4 linked regions of the Schizosaccharomyces pombe genome follow. The protein of the gene in region 3 interacts with the protein of the main gene of each other region in a biochemical or structural test. Each region holds a gene or a part of one and is shown on either strand. Other genes may lie near its edges.

The links.
Region 1: of the proteins of wee1 (region 3) and cdc2, one has a biochemical effect on the other in vitro, tested with the Schizosaccharomyces pombe proteins (3 studies listed by BioGRID).
Region 2: the proteins of wee1 (region 3) and suc1 form a complex in vitro, tested with the Schizosaccharomyces pombe proteins (one study listed by BioGRID).
Region 4: of the proteins of wee1 (region 3) and cdr1, one has a biochemical effect on the other in vitro, tested with the Schizosaccharomyces pombe proteins (2 studies listed by BioGRID).

Annotation. Positions count from the first base shown.
Region 1 is NC_003423.3:1,498,162-1,502,595, reverse strand, and holds cdc2 (cyclin-dependent protein kinase Cdk1/Cdc2), read right to left. Parts: upstream 2,389-4,434; 5' UTR 2,353-2,388; exon of another isoform or gene 2,311-2,352; 5' UTR 2,257-2,310; coding exon 2,220-2,256; exon of another isoform or gene 2,152-2,219; coding exon 1,983-2,151; exon of another isoform or gene 1,911-1,982; coding exon 1,610-1,910; intron 1,509-1,609; coding exon 1,203-1,508; intron 1,149-1,202; coding exon 1,068-1,148; 3' UTR 501-1,067; downstream 1-500. Other genes in the region: protein wwm1, read right to left, coding at 3,181-3,795.
Region 2 is NC_003423.3:1,086,984-1,090,678, reverse strand, and holds suc1 (cyclin-dependent protein kinase regulatory subunit Suc1), read left to right. Parts: upstream 1-1,846; 5' UTR 1,847-1,900; coding exon 1,901-1,989; exon of another isoform or gene 1,990-2,104; coding exon 2,105-2,249; intron 2,250-2,300; coding exon 2,301-2,408; 3' UTR 2,409-3,141; downstream 3,142-3,695. Other genes in the region: RSC complex bromodomain subunit Rsc4, read right to left, coding at 1-1,297, 1,358-1,440, 1,489-1,491.
Region 3 is NC_003421.2:719,988-726,369, reverse strand, and holds wee1 (protein kinase Wee1), read right to left. Parts: upstream 4,567-6,382; 5' UTR 4,137-4,566; coding exon 1,503-4,136; 3' UTR 535-1,502; downstream 1-534. Other genes in the region: rsm18 (mitochondrial 37S ribosomal protein bS18m), read right to left, coding at 1-360. UniProt on the Schizosaccharomyces pombe protein: Protein kinase that acts both on serines and on tyrosines. It acts as a dosage-dependent negative regulator of entry into mitosis (G2 to M transition). Phosphorylates and inhibits cdc2.
Region 4 is NC_003424.3:2,678,942-2,684,376, forward strand, and holds cdr1 (serine/threonine protein kinase (NIM1 family) Cdr1/Nim1), read right to left. Parts: upstream 3,467-5,435; 5' UTR 2,606-3,466; coding exon 824-2,605; 3' UTR 527-823; downstream 1-526. Other genes in the region: dut1 (deoxyuridine 5'-triphosphate nucleotidohydrolase), read right to left, coding at 1-108. UniProt on the Schizosaccharomyces pombe protein: This protein, a dose-dependent mitotic inducer, appears to function as a negative regulator of mitosis inhibitor wee1 by phosphorylating and inactivating it.

The sequences.
Region 1 (4,434 bases), on a different chromosome or scaffold from region 3:
ATTTAATTGGTTACCTTTTTCTATGATTAAAGCATGGAAAGTAAAATGTGCATGCGCAGTTTAATGGAAATGCTCTTCCCTCCATGTATTTGCTCCCTTTTCATTCCTCTCAAGCCTCCAAACAAATTTGTCCTGCGTTTCATCTTTAGACGTTATATTTCCAATATGTCTCGTTTCATTCTGTCCAATTACACTTTGCCAGGTTCAATCGTTAGTATGTATCCATGCATCTAGTGGTTTCTCCTGCGCTGTTTAGTTTTACTTCTTGTTTATACGATTTATTAATTTTGAATTTTTCCAAACGCTCTAGGTATAGACTTAAGCTGTAAATGATGCTCGCTTAGCGTTCAATATAGTGTGAAATACAAATATTCATATCACTTTCATCTTGTAAAATTTAATAAACACGTATGTCTGTTGAACAATAAGCACATTTACGTTCTTTTACCGTTTGCTCGTAAAATTAATTCACCTCTTTGATACTAAATACATCTAAGTAAGTGCAGTTTATATGTTCAGAGCAAACACGAACACTAAAAACTAAAGTCTAAAGAATATACACCTTTTTTAATACTTAAGTATAAAAAATATGTAAATAGAATATAGTATAAATGAGGATTAAAAAACTGGAAAACAAAGGATAAGAGTAAGTAAGAAAAAGGGAGATTAAAAGGCTTCAGTTTTATCAGGAATGAAAGAAAAATAGATTTAAACACTCAGAGCCTGCTTTTGTAAAAAGAACGGCGATAATTCCCTTGACAGTCAAAGAAAGCATTTAAAGTGATATTTACAATAAAGACACAGTAAAGGGAACAGAACTAAAAACGTTACTAAATTCACATTTAATGGCAAGCTCAATATGTCAGTGTTTTTTATATGCCCTGTAAATTGCCCATTGTTTGAGTATGTTTTGAACAAACGCCAAGATTCGAAAAAGAAGGAGGAAAATAAATATTTTCGGTTTATAAATTGAGGTAATTTGTTAATAACTGATATCAAGAAACACAGCAAAGTACAGATAAAGTCAAGGATAGCGTTTTTAAAGGTTTAATAATAAGAGACGAAAATTAATGAAAATCACGAAGATAATTTTGTTGCAAAGCTCGTTTTGCACTAATGCGATGGGCAGGGTCATAAACAAGCATAGCCTTGACAAAATGGTTAGTAATTAGTCTTAAATAGATGGTAATGCAAAATCTTACAGAGAGTAATTCAATAGCGTCCTCTTCACCATTGGGAACAACTTTATGCAAATCCATGCGTTTCCAACGAGGAAATGTGGATTTGTAATCTTGCAAAAGCGTGACTCCAGGCCATACTTCTTCGTTTGGGGTACCTAAAACTTGAAAAATTTTAAAAATTTCGTCGATCTCAGAGTCACCGGGAAATAATGGACTTCGTCGAATCATTTCAGCAAAAATACATCCAACGCTCCAAATATCAACCCCAGTGGAATAATGTCTTGATCCCAACAATACTTCAGGAGCACGATACCATAAAGTGACAATCTAAACGGTTAGCGACACAAATTAATGCTGAAAGACCGTCAGTCAATATTCCAAATTTTTTGGGAATAAAGTCATACAGCCAAGTAAGAAAAAAAATATACCTCATGCGTATAGTTCCGCAAAGGGACACCAAATGACCTCGCAAGTCCAAAATCTGCTAGCTTCAAATTGCCTTCTTTGTCTATCAACAAATTTTGTGGTTTTAAATCGCGATGAATGATTCTTCTAGAATGGCAAAAATTTACACCGTTCACTAGCTGGTAGGTAAACTTTTGAACAAGTCTCGGATCTAAACTAGTGGCCCCAGTTTCTGAAATTCGGTCCATGTATTTTTTCAAATCCATGTCTAAAAACTCAAAAACAAGATACAACTTTGATTCAGCATGTAAAATATCCAAAAGTCTTAAAAAAGGGTTAGAAACAAAGTTTTATCAATGTAAACATTTCCCATGCATCCGTCAAGTAAAAACTTACCGAACACAATTTGATCGATTATTCTCATCATTCACTTCTTTAAGAAGCGAAATTTCACGAATAGCTGTGCTAGGAACTCCCTCAGATTCATCTTCAAGGCGAATTTTTTTCATGGCCACAATACGCCCTGACAATTTATGTCTTGCTTTATAAACAACGCCATAGGTTCCTAGCATTAGTCAGTATACGTGACAGAAAAGAAATTGGATAAGTCATAGCTTCCTCAGTTACACCTACCTTCCCCAATTTTTTCGACTTTTTGATAATTCTCCATTGCAAACCACTAAAAGAAGCAACCTAGCGGTATGTTTTTTGGAAAATAATTTTTCTAATATCTGTTAATAGAGATGCGAGAATGATCTCAAAATACGTTTATACAAATTTGCTTATGTTGTGTTGTGCTGTGGGTAAGCTTGCTCAACTAGCGATAGACTAGTGGAAACGCAGAGGACTATTATCAAACCGAACTTAGGGCTAGCGCTTCATGTTTCTAACTTATGAATTATACTGTTATCAAAAATGAAATTAGAAAAGTAGGACATAACTCATTACTTGCAATTTATACTAGGTGATCAGATATGAAGAACTACATAATCAAAACATCATCTGAAGACATTGTATAACCGTGAATTAAAAAATTGTAAATGTGAATATCAGTCAAAAAAGTGCTATTATTAAATAAATAAATTTACGGTAGGTTGGATTATCCTGAGTTGTCTAATATTTATAGACTAACCCTTTAAGATAAATGTGAAATTGTAAAAACTGTCAAAGACTTCTCCACCTGCTCGCAAAGAAAACAAAACATTTTTTTTTATTTAAAAGAAAAATAAATAAATAAATATCACACTTATAAAAACAAGCAGAATCCGTGTGTATGTCAGAAGTTACAGAGTCATAAAAAAAATCCAGATAGATAAAAAGCATTGCGAAGGAGAAAAGGTAAAAAAAAGTTAATATAAATAATAACTATTACTAGGGAACAGCATTGAATAAGTCAATATTCATTTACGACGAAGACTTTCGAGTTAACCACACTAATGAACTATCCCCGTGTACACACAGGTGTAAAATGAATGATCTTATATTTCTGCAGTAAAATATGTATTAATCGTTCATCTAATGTAATTTTTCTTGCGAGAAACACTTGTCAATAATGCAGTTGAACTCAATAACATAATCGATGCATGAAATTCCCTTAAAAGAAATCATTGCCAAAGTCATTACCTCCATAATCATCAAAATTGTTGTAGTTATTATCATCTACATAAACAACTTCTTCAGGACGATCAAAAGCTTCGTCCATTTCATGCATAGCCAAACCACCGACAAGAAGTCCGCCCAAACCAGTCACCATGGGATTAGACAAGACTCCGCTACGACCTCTTCTTGCAGAAGTAGCAGGCTGGGCATATACGGGTTGTGCGTAGGCAGGCTGGGCTGGGTAATAATTTGGTTGATTGGGATAATAATATGGTTGTTGAGGATAACCGCCCTGAGGGGGATAAGGCTGTGGAGCGGCCCCGTATGCTCTGTTTTGGGAAGCTGCGGGAGCAGGAGCAGGAGCAGCAGAAGAAGCAGAAGCGGCAGGAGTGGCAGGAGCGGCTGAGTTGGAATAAGAAGGAGGCGGTCCACTTGGGGGAGCAGAGTGGTCCACCGAAGGAGGTGGTGGAATAGTTAAACCACGGACCGGACATTCCCATTGCGGCTTTGCTTTGGGATCACTTTCATTAACATAAAAGTAACACTTGTAGCGTTCATCCCACTGAGCGACCCAGCCATTAGGGAGACCTTCACGAGTTTGATAAGCCATAATGGAATTTAAGAAATATGTTGAGTATAAATTGAGAGAAAAGTTTGGAATGAAGGGAATATCTTAAAAAATAATTTTTTTGGTAAAAAAGACAGTTAACAAAAAATAAATGAATTCTAATACTTCTATCTGCTCTGTACGCAAGAAGTAATGGTAACAACAAATGGAAAGAGAAAGAATACTTCTAGATAGTTGGCCTTTTGCAAATGAAAAAGCAATTGATCAAATAAATGAAATTCCGCGTATGATGGTGAGATAATTATAGTGGTTAAGATCGATAAGAAGGTTGGAGAAGTTTGATGCTAGCAGCAGTCATGGAGCTATTCGTGGTGAAAGGTGCCACTAGTATGCTTAATTTCTTAAACTAATATTCAGCTATACAGTGATTCTTATAGGCAGTTTTTTTTTAAATTTGTTATCTATTACATTACATTATAACGAAACTACTTGAGCAATGTAAGTAATCAATATTCATATAGCGATACTTAGCTGTTTCTACAAATCTACAGATATTATACAGGTAATTGAAAGTCTCAAAGAAGTGAAGAAGCGGATAAGTTCATCACTCTTAAACATTACTTTGAAAACCGCCGAACAAAACTTTATAAAGCTTAGAATAAAAATTGAATCACCACGCTG
Region 2 (3,695 bases), on a different chromosome or scaffold from region 3:
ACGCTTTCCATTTAATAATGTGATTATGGTGTATGATTTCAATGCCAGAGCAGGATTTAAGTTAATAACAATATTAAGAAACGAATGCTGAGGGGCCAAGGTAATCACTGAAACTTCCGTAGAATTTAAGCTTGGGCAAGGCAAATACATACGAAGGGGATTCGGCAATGGTAATTGTGGAGGACTGCAAATAAATGCAGAAAGAATGCAACGTTCAGTATTAGGTATGTCTTCAAAAAATTTGGGTTCTGGAAAATTTGGCATATTAAAAGTACTACGACCCATCACCGATTTATGAGAGAAATTTAAAAAATCCGGAACAGGAGTTGAAGGAAACGATTTAATAAGGGCAAATGCTCCGTAATTAGCTTGAGATAATGTATCCATGGGTGATGGAACATCTTCGGGTATGGGAGTTTGGTCCTTTTCAGATTCTTTTGAGAAACTTTCAACATGAGCCTCCTCTGACTTCAAAACATCTGGAGTGGCTGCCTGATCACTGGTTATAAAAGATGGGGCGACTGAAGTAGAACGTTCGCGTGAAGTTGAAGCAGATACAGAAGGAGTTGGAGATGCGGGGGTTTCCTCGGGTTCATGCTTTGAAGTTGCAGGAGAGTGTTCCTTAGGTTGTTCGGAAAATGAAGAAATAAGGGAAGATGAAAGTTGAGAAAGCTTTTCAGCATCTTCATAGACAAAACTTCCGGGGGCGTTATACGTTTTGGCGTTAATAAACATTTGATTTAAGTCTTTTACAAAGCTTTCCAAAGTCGTATACTCTCCCTTTTTAAACCTTTTTTCCAACATTTTTATAGTCATAGGGGATTTGATAATTTCATAGTAATCCGGGTACAAACGTTTGCTAGGAAGGTCTATAAATATATCAATTAAAAAACGACCTTGTTCATCCTTTTCTTCATGTAAGGCATCTAAGATATTTTGAATAACCTTTGGAACATCAATCTCATTAGTGCCAGGTTTGTGTTCCTCGTTGATGCTTGACTCCATTTCCTCATTCTCTTCCTCATTCAAAGTTCCATCCTTGCTTTCTAATGAATTAGCAGTATTTGCAATAAGCACAGAACATTCATAGACGAGGCTTCCAGGCATATTGTAAGTCTGCGCATTGCTAACCATAAGCCGAATATCATCGTAAAAGTCACCCATTGACAGATATTTACCAGTCTTCGCCTTGTTGCGCATCATCTTGTAGCAAATCGGCTTTTGAATGATTTGATAGTAATCTGGAAAATATCGTTTGGAAGGAAGTTCTTCAAAAATGTCATCAAATGGATTACCTCTATTTTAAATAAATTATTAGTAAATGGACATGCGACACCTAACTCCTTTCAATACATACTCGTTGTCCTTTAAACCCACCAATGCTTCTAAAACTTCATCAAACTTGGTCTTATCGAATGGGGCATTATGACTATCATCAACCTATAAATATTAGTATGTTGTAACAAAACACGGGACATGAGAATATACCATTTTAAATAATTTATTATATTGCAACGTTTATGTACAATGAATAGAGTATATCAACTTTAATTAGGTCCGCTTGCGACTGTATATTCCAAAATAATACACAATTTTTCGAATTACAATAAGAAACCGTTCACTTTATAAACTGAATTTTGGGAATTATTATATAGACCAAAAAGGCTTTGAAAAAGAAATAGCTAGCGCAAAAAACCTGTTTTCTGCAACCGATAACTTTCGTTTTAGGTATAGAGTGTTGAGTTGAAGCCCAAAGTTGTGTGTTACCTAAAGTGAGTACTGTTACTTTAAGTCTAAAACGAAATTTAGCGACCTTTAACGGATCACCCAAGTCCTAGAGTATCCTATACTTTACCCATCTCAAAGAAAAGTTATTCTTTTTGAGTATTAAGGAGGAGATATGTCGAAAAGTGGTGTGCCACGTCTTTTAACTGCTTCTGAGCGTGAACGTCTAGAGCCATTCATTGATCAAATCCATTATTCTCCTAGGTATGATGATATTGTTAAAGAAACTGCCATACTTTGGGAATTCTCTAGGTTCTTTGTTTTCCCCTAAAACGAGACTCTTGTATCTTATTTGAGCAAATGCTAATCGATGAAATAGATATGCTGATGATGAATATGAATATCGACATGTTATGTTACCAAAAGCAATGCTAAAAGCGATACCCACCGATTATTTCAATCCAGAGACTGGAACGCTTCGAATCCTTCAAGAAGAAGAATGGAGAGGACTTGGAATTACTCAAGTAAGTAATCAAGGATTTTAACTGCTCAAAAACAAACTGACATTTATTTAGAGTCTGGGATGGGAAATGTATGAAGTCCATGTCCCAGAGCCACACATCCTGCTATTTAAGCGTGAAAAAGATTATCAAATGAAATTTAGTCAACAACGGGGTGGTTAAGTTTGTCAACTCCAACGTTTCTGTTTTACTTTATCAAAAAAATATTAGTTCATGGATGCGAAACATATTGACTTTTTAGGCATTCAATACGCTGCTTTTTTTTATCAAGCTCACTGAGTGTTTCATGTGGGAGTCGCTAAAAATGATAATGAATTATCTTCGCCATTTATGTTTGCTACAGACTAACAACATATTTGGGCAATTCCTACTTTTTTTTCACTGTAGATATACTTTACTGGTTCTTTTTATTTTCTTTCAAAATCATCTTTCTATTTTCTTTTATCTTTATTTTTTATCGTTTATCGTTTAATATAGAATCTCTGTCTTTTCATTCACGTTAGCATAGAGTTTGATCAACCACAAACTAGTTTTTTACATTCCTCCTTTAGAAGTTTAAAGCACTCCTACTGGTTCCTGCTCACCTTCAAACCATTCCGTCTCAAAGACGATTGATTCCTAGATGTTTGCAATTGATGAATCCCTATCGGTTAAGTCAGACTTTACAATGCACATTTTTCTCTAAAAAATGTGAAAACGTACGTTATCATTAAGTGATATTTTGTATATTAGGCTAGAACATTTTGCGTTTCATGCCACTGATTCAGTTGCCTTTTATTCAAAAATGTTGTCAAACTTTACAAAATTTTAGTAAGAAACTCACTTATAGTACTTAACAAAAATTTCCGAAAAAAACTTACTTTTATTTATAAATTCCGTAGTTATGTAGTTTAACATTACCTTTGTTCAAACTAGCTGTGATTAGCTTGTTTAAAATCTTCATATACTTATAATAACAACGTAAAAAATGTCTCATGACTCCATTTGTTTACAATCAGCGAAGATAATCAATACATTTTTGCAATGCCAAGTGTTTTATTAAGAAAAACATGGAGATACATCTGTAGTAATTGTGACTCATATTTCCAACTGTTAATCTATTGCGTCAGGTGCTTCCATTCTTTAATTTCCACATGTATTACTCAATTTAGTTCTAAAACAATACAATACTAGGACTCCTCTGTCATCTTAACAAATTTGCTTGATCAGCCCATATTAGCTATCACAAATGGCTACTCAGTTAAGTTGCGCACACTTACATGCTTTACAAAAACCTCTTCAACATTCTCTACATGAAAAATACTTACGATAAAAAGATGGACGTAAATTTATTAAGAACAAAAGGTAAGCTTAATCTGAACGTTTTCAATGAATTACGGTTCAAATGGTATAAAGGTAAAAAGTTAAGCTAAATAGACAAGAAATATCGTTGACTTCAGCGCTTATATT
Region 3 (6,382 bases):
AACGAATCTTGACAATATTACGGGGTTTTTCCAATAATTCATAGGGTTTTCGTTCACCGTCTTAAAGCAATCTTCTCTTACTGGTTCATAGAATTTGGCTTGATTTTTCGCCTTTACCGTTTCAAACAGTAAATCATTGGGAGAGTAAATATCACCTTCTTCTACGGAGGCTGATAAATATGATGGAATATTTGAGCGAACTCTTCTCTGAAATCCTACATTTGAAGATGCTTCAGAATTTCTCTCATTAAATTTTCGATTGTCCGAAAACCCTCTTCGCGTAGAGTTATTAGATTGTATGAGATTGCATAAAATAAATCCTCTGTTTGGAGCTGGAGAAAATATTCGTCTCCCAAGCATTTTTCTCCCGTGCTGTTGTCAAAGTAATATTTCAATGTTTGAAGGTGTTTAGTGAAATAATGAGACACTCGTTAAATAGTTTATAGCTTATGCTTGTGTCTGATAAATGAAAACGTGATGATACCTGAATTTTCTAACTTTTCTGTTTCAAAATAAATGTTTATTTAGATATGAAGTGTTAAACGGGTCATTAAAATCCTATACTAATTTGAAGGCATCACAAACTTGAGCATATACACAGCTTTCACAAGCATAAAAAAAAAGGGAAATTAAAAATTACAGAAGTGGAACTAAGCATAACGTTAACATTATTACTAATTATTATATGATATGATAATAATAAAAAATCTAACGGGTTATTAAACTTCGTTAGTAAATCGTGGCATTTTCCATAAACATAACCAATTATTTGCCATTCAGCAAGATCGTAAACTATGTACAAGAATAATAGGCAGTGTCATCGATCGATCTAAATTATTATGAAAACAGAAGTCAAAAAAAAGTGGATAAACAGTCGGGATTCGAACTTTATGCTAGCAAAGATGAGTAAATGCAACATATCAAGTCGATAACAAACGAGTGACATAAGAAATTAGACAATAAAATAGATGAAAAATAGGAATAATAACTCCTCTGAAGCCGAGTCTACATGTTAGAGAAAGGATTTGCGATATAAAAAACAATCGTTCACTAACATTTTTTCAGTAGACAAAGCACGTACAGTATGTGCGGCGTCAAGGCTTTAAATTAAGGAAACATTCTAGTTCCCCATATCAAGAACTGAATGGCATGTTTCCATAGCCATCATCATATTGCCTCAGATATAATTAACCGGATATTTGACTGAAGAAAACCAAATAGATAATCCGGTGAAAAGGCAAAAAATTAAATAGAAAAACTATCATCTAATAATTTTTTAAAATTTTTTAAAATTTAAGGGTTCGGTTAAAACGGACACGTATCCTTAAATAAAAAAAAAGCATTTAATGAACCAAAATTAATTATAAGCACCAATCACTAAACTTTTCGTTTAAAAATAATTAAAGTGTTTGCTTTTATGAAGCTAAACAGATTTTGGAAGCCATTCCCTTATTTCGCAATTTCGCAGTAATAAACATTGAGAACAAGAGTCTCTAAAAGGTTTAAACATTCACCTGCCAATCTTCCATCATTTGATCACCCTGGGGGTTAGAAGAAGATCCATGAATACCTTCATAAATTATGGCTCCGGCTTTTCTACGCATTTCAACCCAGCAAACCTCATCAGTTGCCAAAATTTGATCTATGGTAGGTCGGTTCCTAGGCTCTGGAGATAGCATCCACTCTACAACGCGATCAAGTCCCCCTTGGCCTATTATACTATTAGCCGGTGTTTCACGAGAAGAAGAAGTAAGAGATGAACCGTTGTCTGTTGAAGAAAGTCGAGGAGCATCTGATAAGTCACCGGAACGTAATTTCTGCCAAGACTGACCGTTATCAGGAAGAACAATGTTAGCAGCAGCTTCGAAGACTGTGATACCCAAACTGAAAATATCAGCAGGTTTATCATACAAATGGTTAGCAAGAACCTCAGGCGCAATGTATTCACAATCACCTTCTCTTTCCATGCCTCTCGGAACAGGCCAAACACTGGCCATTCCAAAATCACCAATCTTCAAGGTACCCTCGAATGTTATCATAACATTAGCAGGCTTTAAATCCAAATGAACATAATTTTTATGATGAATAAACTGTAGCCCAAGAGCTACTTCTACTAATATTTTCCATACCCTAAATTCATCGAGCCTTGAAAGTTGTCCTTGCTCTTCAAGAAAACGATCCAAACTACCATTTTCACACAATTCGACTTGCATATAAAGAAACCCCCCATGTTCCCATGAGTCCATAAGCTCTACAATGTGATCATGGCCTTTAAGGGCTCGTTGAATAGAGACTTCCTGAAGTAGTCGATTACGTTCTTTTGGTCCACTAAACTTTACCTTGAGCTTTTTCACTGCATACTTTAAAGTTTTTTCCACAGGGTCTTCAACTTGAAAAACCTCACTAAACTCTCCACTTCCTAGTAAAGTAACATTTCTAAACCGTGTAAGCAAATGTGAAGTAGATGATGATACTTTGGACGAGGTGAGAGCAGAAGGAAAGGATAATGTAAAGCTTGAAGAAGAGGGTTGAGATACATCAGCTTCTTCCTCCATGGCAAATGACATTTGATTATTATTTCTCGATTTGATAGGCGAAGGTTGCCGACCGTCCATGTGAATGGAAACAGTATTTTCAAACGCAAATGGGTTACGAGTAGGCGTAGCGGGACACCTCTGATTAGATAGAAATGGTAATCCATAGTTGTGAGAAGTTTTTACAGCAGAAGGAGGAGGATCGAACCTCAAAAAGTCCATGGAACTTTTCTCCAACTGAATAGTAGGAATGGAATTGTGATTTGTAGGAGTGTTTTCCCGTTGAATAAAATAAGAGTCGGTTTGTGTATTGGAAGGAGTCGAGGGTGATGGAGGCGAATCTGTGGAGGAAGAATGTGGACGAACAAAGGTAGAGGGTTTTGAAGGAGTACTAGGAGGGAGAGGTGTAAAGTTAATATTCTTTCGCGGACGATGTTGCTTGGATAAAAGACCTGTACTCATAAAAACTTGGGAAGGAGGTTTGATTTGTTGAAAGGGAGTAGTTAACAACTCAGATGAGGGTGGGTTAGGTAGAGTAGCATTGGGGAAAAGGGAGAATGAATTAGAAGAGGAGTTAACCATACTGTTATCAGAAAAGAGGGAAGATTCATTTTGTTGGGTTTGAGGATGTGAGCGATTAGAAGGGATGAAACTTTTCATCATAAATGATGCATCCTTAGAGCTATTTCGTGAATGGTTGTTAGATACGGCAGACTTAGTTTGGCTGGAGGCAAACCCAAGCTTGCGTGCAGTAAGTGGACGAGCGGTAGGAGAAAACAAAGAGGATTGAGCGGAGTTAGAAGGGAAATGATTAGAGGTAGTGTGTCGAGAGGATGGTATGGACGAAAAAAGGGTAGAAGGATTAGCATTATTTGAATTAGGAGGAGCGGGTGTGGAAGTCGATAAAAAATTAGGCGATGAAGTTGCAAAAGGAGAGAAGGAGCCCGATGCAAATGGAGAGATGTGGGAATTTGAGATACGAAAAGAATCAAAATTGTTTTTCTTTCGCAGCTTCTGAGCAGGAGTAGAAGGAGGTATGTGTTGAGAGCTTTGAAGGAAGGGAGATGGAGAGTGGGAAGGAGGGGACATTGCACCGTTTGACATGGAGGAAGAAAAGAAACTTCGTTTTACACCAGTAGATGCATTTTTATGAATGGGAAACGCACGAACGTCTGAGGGTGAAGGGGCAGTATGGTGGATGGGATTAGCCACCTGGGCAACAGGAGAAAGAGATGGAGAATCACCTAACCGAGAGGAAGAGCGTGATACCAGATTGGGTCTATCAAAAAGGGAAGGCCGCCGAGGTACAGGTTGTGCCTGTATCTGGGGTTGTGAATGTGTAAAAGAAGGAGGAGAAAGAGGGTGAAGAGGGGCGGCATGAGAGAAGGAAGGGGAGGAAGTGGTCTGTTTGCGAGGACCGAATAAGCTAGTGAAAGAGGTATTTGGCTTTTGCGAAGAGGTAGATGAAGTAGAATTGTTAGCATCATACAGGCTCGATGGAGTTGGAGGAGCGAGCAAAGTAGCACGATTTAGATTCATGGAGCGTTGGGACCGCCGTAAGCCATAAGATCTATGACTGCTGGTATTAGAAGAAGAGCTCATGTTTTCTGTATGGAAAATGTGGCAATTTAACAAAAAAATAGATATGAAATTTTTGATTTAATTAAATTGAATTGGAATGCAAACGGAACAGATGTACGAACGAACAATCGATAAACGAGGGAAGTGCGAAGCAACTAGGATTTCGTAGGTAAAGCGTAATGCACAGTTGTAAATGGAATAAAGAAAAGGGAGAAAACAAAATGAAAAAGAAAATTCCAACCGATATTCTGAAGGCCTACCACCTCAACAAAAGAGAAGAAATTGAGCCAATGCTCGTAATATTGTCAAAACGAAGGAGAAACGTCAAAAAAAGAGAAATGTTTAATAAATTAAAAATAAATAAGAAGAAAACAAAGGCAAGAGAGCAAAAAAGCTCTCGTTTGCTTCAACGAATTATGTCTATTAATAAGTAAAGTGGTATGTTGAGGTTACGACGAAGATATTGCACCCACCTACTTTTACTAGTACAAAGGGGGGGTTCAAAGCCGCTATAGCCTTAAAGTGTCCAATCCGGTATTAGGGTATGCGTTCCACTCCAGTATTCCTTTAAAGCTGAGTGAGTGAAATTAAGCGATAGCTTATTGTGGAGCACTGAGCCGAGACGTTCCCTAGAAGAAGCCAAAAACAACGAAAAAAGGTTAGCAAACACGGAAGGAAAACAAAGAAACGGAACCACAAAATTTTCAGCAAATTGAACGTCTAAAGCCTATAAAGAAAGAAGCAGATAAGGACGCTTAACAGCTGATTAAAAGGGAGGGGAAACTATTTTTCATAAATAAGGAGAGAATGCGAAAATCACGTCGGAAGGCCGGGTTGAAGGAGGAAGTATTATACCGAAACTGGGCAAAAAATCGTAATTCGTTGGTTAGTGATATTGCTTTCTCCTAGCTAAATATGTATAGTACAGCGTAGTGTAGTGTAGTGTAAGGTAGTTTTGGGATCAGAGCAGCGAGAAGTAGTGAGAGTTGGTGGTGAAAAAAATGTAAACAGAAACAGGAAACGAGTGGATGAGCCGAAACTACGAGTTTTTGAAGGAGATGGTTTTAATGAATGTCCCTTTTTCTTCTTCGCTGCTACAAAAGAAAAAAAAATGGGGAAAAGACAAGAAATATGAATAAGAATGGAAGTAGCTTACTTTTCCGATGGAAGGGAAATGTACCAAAGTAATGACGAAAAGGTCACACACTGGAGACTAACTAGAAGCGGTAAGTGCACGTTAGTATGTCGATCTGTCCATATATATAAAGTAAATAATCAAAGGAAAGATGTAAAATTGGAAATAAATGAGAAAGAAAAGATATGGAAATACGATCCCTAAAATAACATGCAAAAAACAGAAACGGTTCAGATGAATTCAGGCACTTGGCATGGTGAGTGGTGGAAAGAAAGACAGTGTGATGTTGATGAATGAAGGAATAACCAGTAAACAAATGAGAGATCCCGTTAGCGACGGAGACAAAAAAGCGGAAGGAAAACGAAGAGATGAAAAGAGGTGGTGTGAATGGTTTAGCCTGGATTTTGATTTAAAGGAGATGGTAAAAAAAAAAAAATTGTGGAATTAATGTTATTGTTGTTTTAGTAAAAGTAGTGGTGGGTCAATAGAAATAAAATTGGTTTCACTTTGCAAAATGACAATACAATAAAAGTCGTTTAAAAAAAAAAAAAAAAAAAAAAGGGAGAAAAATCACCTTTTAGTCTTTACATGATTCTTCTATTATCTATCGATTCGAACATTTAAGGGTTGCATGGGATAAAGCAGTGCTAGTGTTAAAAGGTAAATAGAAAAAGAGAAGAGAGAAAAGGAATGCAAAAAATTAACAGGGAAGGAAAAAAAGTGCCTCTAAGCATTCAAAAGAGAAGCTAAAATTAAAATAATAAACATGAAATGACTTAAAGAATGATAATTAAAGTTGTTTTATATATCAACGAATATTCTTTTTTCTTGAACATTAGGAAATTGTGTTAGGATTCAGATATCGAAAGGTATGGAAAAAAAAAGGGGGAGACGATAGGAGCAGAAGAAAGTGAAAGGGGGGCAAAGAAGTAAAAAGACAAGAATTAAAAATATTCGGATTTGCAAAAAAAGGAAAAGTCAAGTGTTCTTTTTTTAGAATCCAAACCATCCAAAGTGGAACATTTTAAGAAAGTACAGTGAGAATAATGGTAAATCAGATAGGCGAAGTATCATAGAATTTGTTAGTTACAATGAATGAAACAATCAATAGATAGAGGGAATGATTAATCAT
Region 4 (5,435 bases), on a different chromosome or scaffold from region 3:
TGGAACTATACATTCAGCAGCCGCGTACAAATCATATCCAGCAGAATTTGCAGAGCCTTTAGTAGGAATGGTTGCTTTTTCAGAAAGTTTTTGAACGAAAAAACTCATGTTTAAACTATAAAACTGTGTAATTTCACAGACAATAGAATTCTTGATTGGGAATGAGTGTTTGCAATAGATACTGGCGTTGCATATAAATTTGAAGTTACGCGACACGTTGCGGTTGACGGCGCGTCGCGTTTGTTTACATTTAGTCAAGATATACACCGTACAACATACCTAATATATAAACGTAGACAGTGTATAAAAACTTTCTAAAGAGGTAAACGTTTATAGGAATTATTTCTTCATATTTTATTTATTGCGATAACTCTTAAACCTCAATTTTATTACTAAACACTCCGGAATATTCGACAATTTTCAAAAACCAACAGACGTTATTACATAAAAACACCCAAATTTCATATAAAACTAATGTTCACAACAAAATTTTACTTTATACAGACTACTGATTTCTGGAAAGCGATTGTAATAGAAGATATTCATTAGTTACATATATAAACTAGTGTGCCCAAATCATTAACAGATATATAACGTAAAACCCTAAAACCATTAAATTGCTAATAGACTCAAAGGTCCAATTGCCAAAAAAGATCATTAAATTCGTAGAAAGGTACAGGTACACACGACGGGAGATCCAAAAAAAATAATTATCATCCTCATTAAATTATAAACAGATCTTAACATTTGAATAGCCGCCCACAGTATAGACATTAATGGTTGATTTTGAGGAAGAAGACTGTGTTTTTGAAAAAATTCCTATTTAATCCTTCCGAAAGAATGAAGAAATCTTTCGTAATACAGAACCGGAAGAAACTTTTCTGGGAGTATATCTTGCATTAGTAGCATATTGAGAATATCTCCGACTTGGAACTGGAGATGAACATAAAGGAGCAGAAGCAGATCTCACATTAGTTATGTTCGGCTGCATATTACTGATTACAGGAAAAGATATGGGACGTCTATTTTGATTGCCTGATCCTTGAACAAAGCCTCCAACCTGGACATCGTCCAAATTGGTTAGCCCATCTATTGATGGTTCAGGAGTTGAAAGTGAATCAGGAGTGTAGTAGCCACTGGCTGTGCTAGACAGAGTGGTGCTAGGAAAGATGCGGACATAGCCATACCGATTGAATGGTACGGATTCTAATTGCTCAAGGGTAGGAGTGGGGAGAGATTGTAAGTCCAGAGAATCAGTTCTAACATTATCAGTTGAATAAGTATACTCTTCTGGTGGACAAACAAACATATAATTATAGTCATCATCCAAAGTCGATGGGTTTGAAACTACTTCATGACAGGCATAGCTGTCATAATCCTTGTCAGAAGACACCCTGATCGGTATTGGAGATTGAGACATTTGATTTAAGGCTGAAAGCGGACTAGAAACTCTTCTAGCAAGTTCATCTTCAAAATTACTACTTTTGCGAGAGTTTGTCGAAACATTGGATTTTACTAACGATGTTGTTGAAATAGAAGCTTTGGTGAAAAGATTATTGTCGTGAATTAAATCGTAAAGACTGAGATATTTATTTTCATCAAAACGTTGTTTTTTCAACATATCATCGCGCAAAATCTCGGATAAAACTTTATACACATATTTTTCGTCGTTATCATCTCGCTGTTGAAGACGACGAACGACTTTTTTAGAGGATGATTTTTTCCAAAGCACACACATGCAATCAACTACTAATGGATCAATTTCGTCAATTGACAGTGAAGGGGTAGGAGGGGTAGTGCTATCCATAGAGCTCAATGATGTACAGCCCATTAGAAATGGATGAGAAAAAACTTCCGGAATTGTTATACGCGTGCTTGGATTTACATCTAGCATTCTGTGTAACAAATCTTGCGCAGCCGAAGAAATTGAAGAAGGAAGATCATATGCGCCATGGCGAATCTTATTATAAATAACATCTGTGTTTTGACCACCAAAGGGGAGCTTATTCGACAACAATGAATACAAGATGACACCACAAGACCAAACATCAGCAGGAGCTCCACGATATGGTTTGTGAGATACAATTTCGGGAGCCAAATAATGTAAAGAGCCGCAATAATTCTCAAGACAAGAGTCATTTGGTTCAACAGTGGCCATGCCAAAATCAGCTATTTTAATTTGTTGCTCATTTACCTTGATGAGAATATTCTCAAGTTTTAAATCCCGATGGCGAAAGCGAAAGCGATGACAATGCGCTACAGCATCAAGAATTTGGGAAAGATAATGCGCAGCCTCTCTTTCGCTCAAAGGTCCATGTTTGCGTATATAGTGAAAAAGCTCACCATCAGGGACGTACTCGAGTGCTAAGTACATATGCTGATGATCGGTCCAAACATCGTATAGTCGAAGAATATTAGGATGGCGCAACAAACGCATCATTAAGATTTCCATTCCTATGGAGGCATATCGAATAGGGATAATTTTGATGGCAGCCAAATCACCAGTTTTAGCATGCTTGGCAAGACGCACACAGCTAGTGGAACCAGTCCCTAAAGTCTTCCCAAGACGCCATACGCCAATAGTATTTTTGTGTCGCTTCACCATTCAAATCTAACCTTTTATTAAGGGAAAAGGCTTTCCAAAAGTAAAATTGCAGACTGAATAATAGCAACTTCAGAAAATCTGAAATACTTATGATGAAAAGTAGAATAAATGTCGAAAAAGTAGCATGAAATTTGGAATAAGTAAAGGAAAAAGTGAATGACACCACGATACAAAATAGGGTGTGATCACAAAATAGATACTGGAAACGAATTAATAAAATAAGAGTGCCTCATAAATAACCTAAAGCACTTTTCTGAGTGTATTGTAGAACAGAAAAGTGAAACGTGGAACGGAAATAGACGGACCTTGAAAAAAAAATGGGAAGTAGCACAAGAACACAAATAACAAATGTAAGTTACAAGACGTTTTGAGTAACAGCAATAAAAAAAGGTAAAGACAAAGAAAAAGAAACGAAGGGGAGCGTAAAATAAAGAAAGTATGTAAAGTGTATAAGATTCGTGATGTATAAATCCAATAAAGGTTAAGTTAATGATATTCGAATAAGGATTGAACTTTCATAAATTAAAAGAGAGAAGAAACAAGAAAGGAGAAAGTAAAAATGGAAATATTGGGGCGGTCAAATAGTTGAAAAAGGTAGAATAAAATAAACTAACGGATTTTAATTCAAACCCTGTATAATCAGATAAAAATATGGAGAACAGTAAGTAAAACAAAGAAAGATGAATGAATAAATAAATAATATGTAGAACAACCCACTATATAGAAGGCCTACAGATGTTTCAAAATATCGATCTACAATATTAATACAAACAGGATCCCAGCAATTCCTAAAATCGAAAACAATGCTGAGTTCTTATGCAGAGTAGTCCAAAAGACGGAATTGGCCAAGATAAGTTTGGCAGAGGACAACATGAATGCTGGAGGAGCGGATATAAGTGTTCAAGAGTAGGGAAGGGTGGGGCACTACTTGGACTTGATCAGGGAACATATGAAGAGTGTATTGAAGGCTTACGATTATTTCGGCGGATCACGATAGGATGACTTAAGGAACGGAAGCAATCCACTACTTGGTTTCTAGTCCTTGAGGGTGGTAATCTCAGGCTCATAGTGCTGTCTTGATAAAAACTTGAATATTAACAGCTGATTTATAGCTGTAGAGCAAATTTTATTTAGTTTTTCAGTTTCGCTTTATGAAGTTTAATTAATATTCATATTGTAGTAAAATCGAACCGTTAAAGTTGTCTTTTCTTCTCTTATTTACATTTTCGTTAAAAGCAACTTTAGCAGTCTTTTCTGCTTCTTTCACATTTGTTTACGTAGTACTCGTTTTGGCAATCTAGGAGCAAGTTATTGCAATAGATGAATATTTTTTCTTGTTTTACTCGTGTAGTTTTAGCAGGGAATTCCAGTTTTTCATCGAAAAGTAACACGACTTGGTAGCACGGTCAAGAACCCGTTCTACTTCGGGGATAACCAGGGACATGATGCATACCATATCTGATAACACATGCCATTACACTTTTTTTGAAAATTTGAGCAAAAAAAATAATGAAAACAGGTACTTGAAATCTGACAAGTGTTAGAGCCGGCTTCATGCCAAACATTGAAACTTGCTTCAATAATAGATGAAATCTCAGTATATAATGAATGTATTGAACGGGTTACTGAAGTTCATTTCATCATTATAAGCGAATATTGGATGTTTGAAATCGTCTTCATCCTATGGTATGAATAACAACGACTGTCGTGAAAAGTTGATGAAAGACTATAGGCCCCGCTTAAGAAATTACGATATTATAAAGAATCTATAATTTTCTACAATTTAATTGAAATTTTTATATTTGGAGGCGAAAACTTATTCTTTTTCAGCTTGCTCAACTTTATGTGACTTTTTTACATGGTATATCAACATGAACATTCTTACTGCAAATATTTCAACTAAATAAATTCATTAAATTTTTATTAGACAATAAAAATATACTATAGCAACTTGAGAGCTGCAATACGTGTACGCCACAAACAATTGAGAAACAAACAGAAATTGTTTACACAGTTTCGCTGTTTTCAAAATATAACCACGGGTAAGTAATACAGTTGGCATACAACATTTGGGTAACCTACCATAATTATCAATTGAGCGCAAGAATGGCTTGGATACTGACTCAACCCCAGTCTACTGAATCGACGATGTTTGGAAAATCGAATGAAACCAGCAAAACCGATCCTTCACCTTTAACTATCGGTAATCCAAGTTTGATTATCGAGCAAAGATGTGGTTGGTGCTTGGACAGATGGATCTACTTGATTGCTTGATATTTTTCGGTGTCAGTTCGTTACGCTAAAATGACTAAGAAAAATGAACACAGCCTCGATAAACAAATATCATCAGTGCGATCCAACAGCGGTATTTGTCTGAGTTTCTGGTTTACATTCCGAGCCACATGAAAGATAGGCGTTACAGGGCTCGGGAATGCAGCCGAAGCCGTTCAAAGTTGTCAATAAAGAACGTTTGGTAGAAGTGTCCAACAGCAACGAAGTGTTGATGACTTGTTGCCAATGATGAATTTCTTCACTATTGAGTTGGACTTTGGAATGTGAGTGGTCGTACCAACAACTACGGGTATATGGCCTTATTGCAGTGTAAGATTATCTCATTGTCATACAAAGTGGGCAACTTCATACGCAAGGCGTGGGTTTCATGAACACACAAAACGAATCGAGATGATCATCGTTGGATACTCGCTTGATGCAGCTGCTAACGGAGATGCACAAAGCAATCGAACTTTACCATGACATATCCGAAACATGCTAAGATCTTGTTGATGCATTCGTTGACGTTTTTTCAAGATGTTTCGTAATTTCTATACCC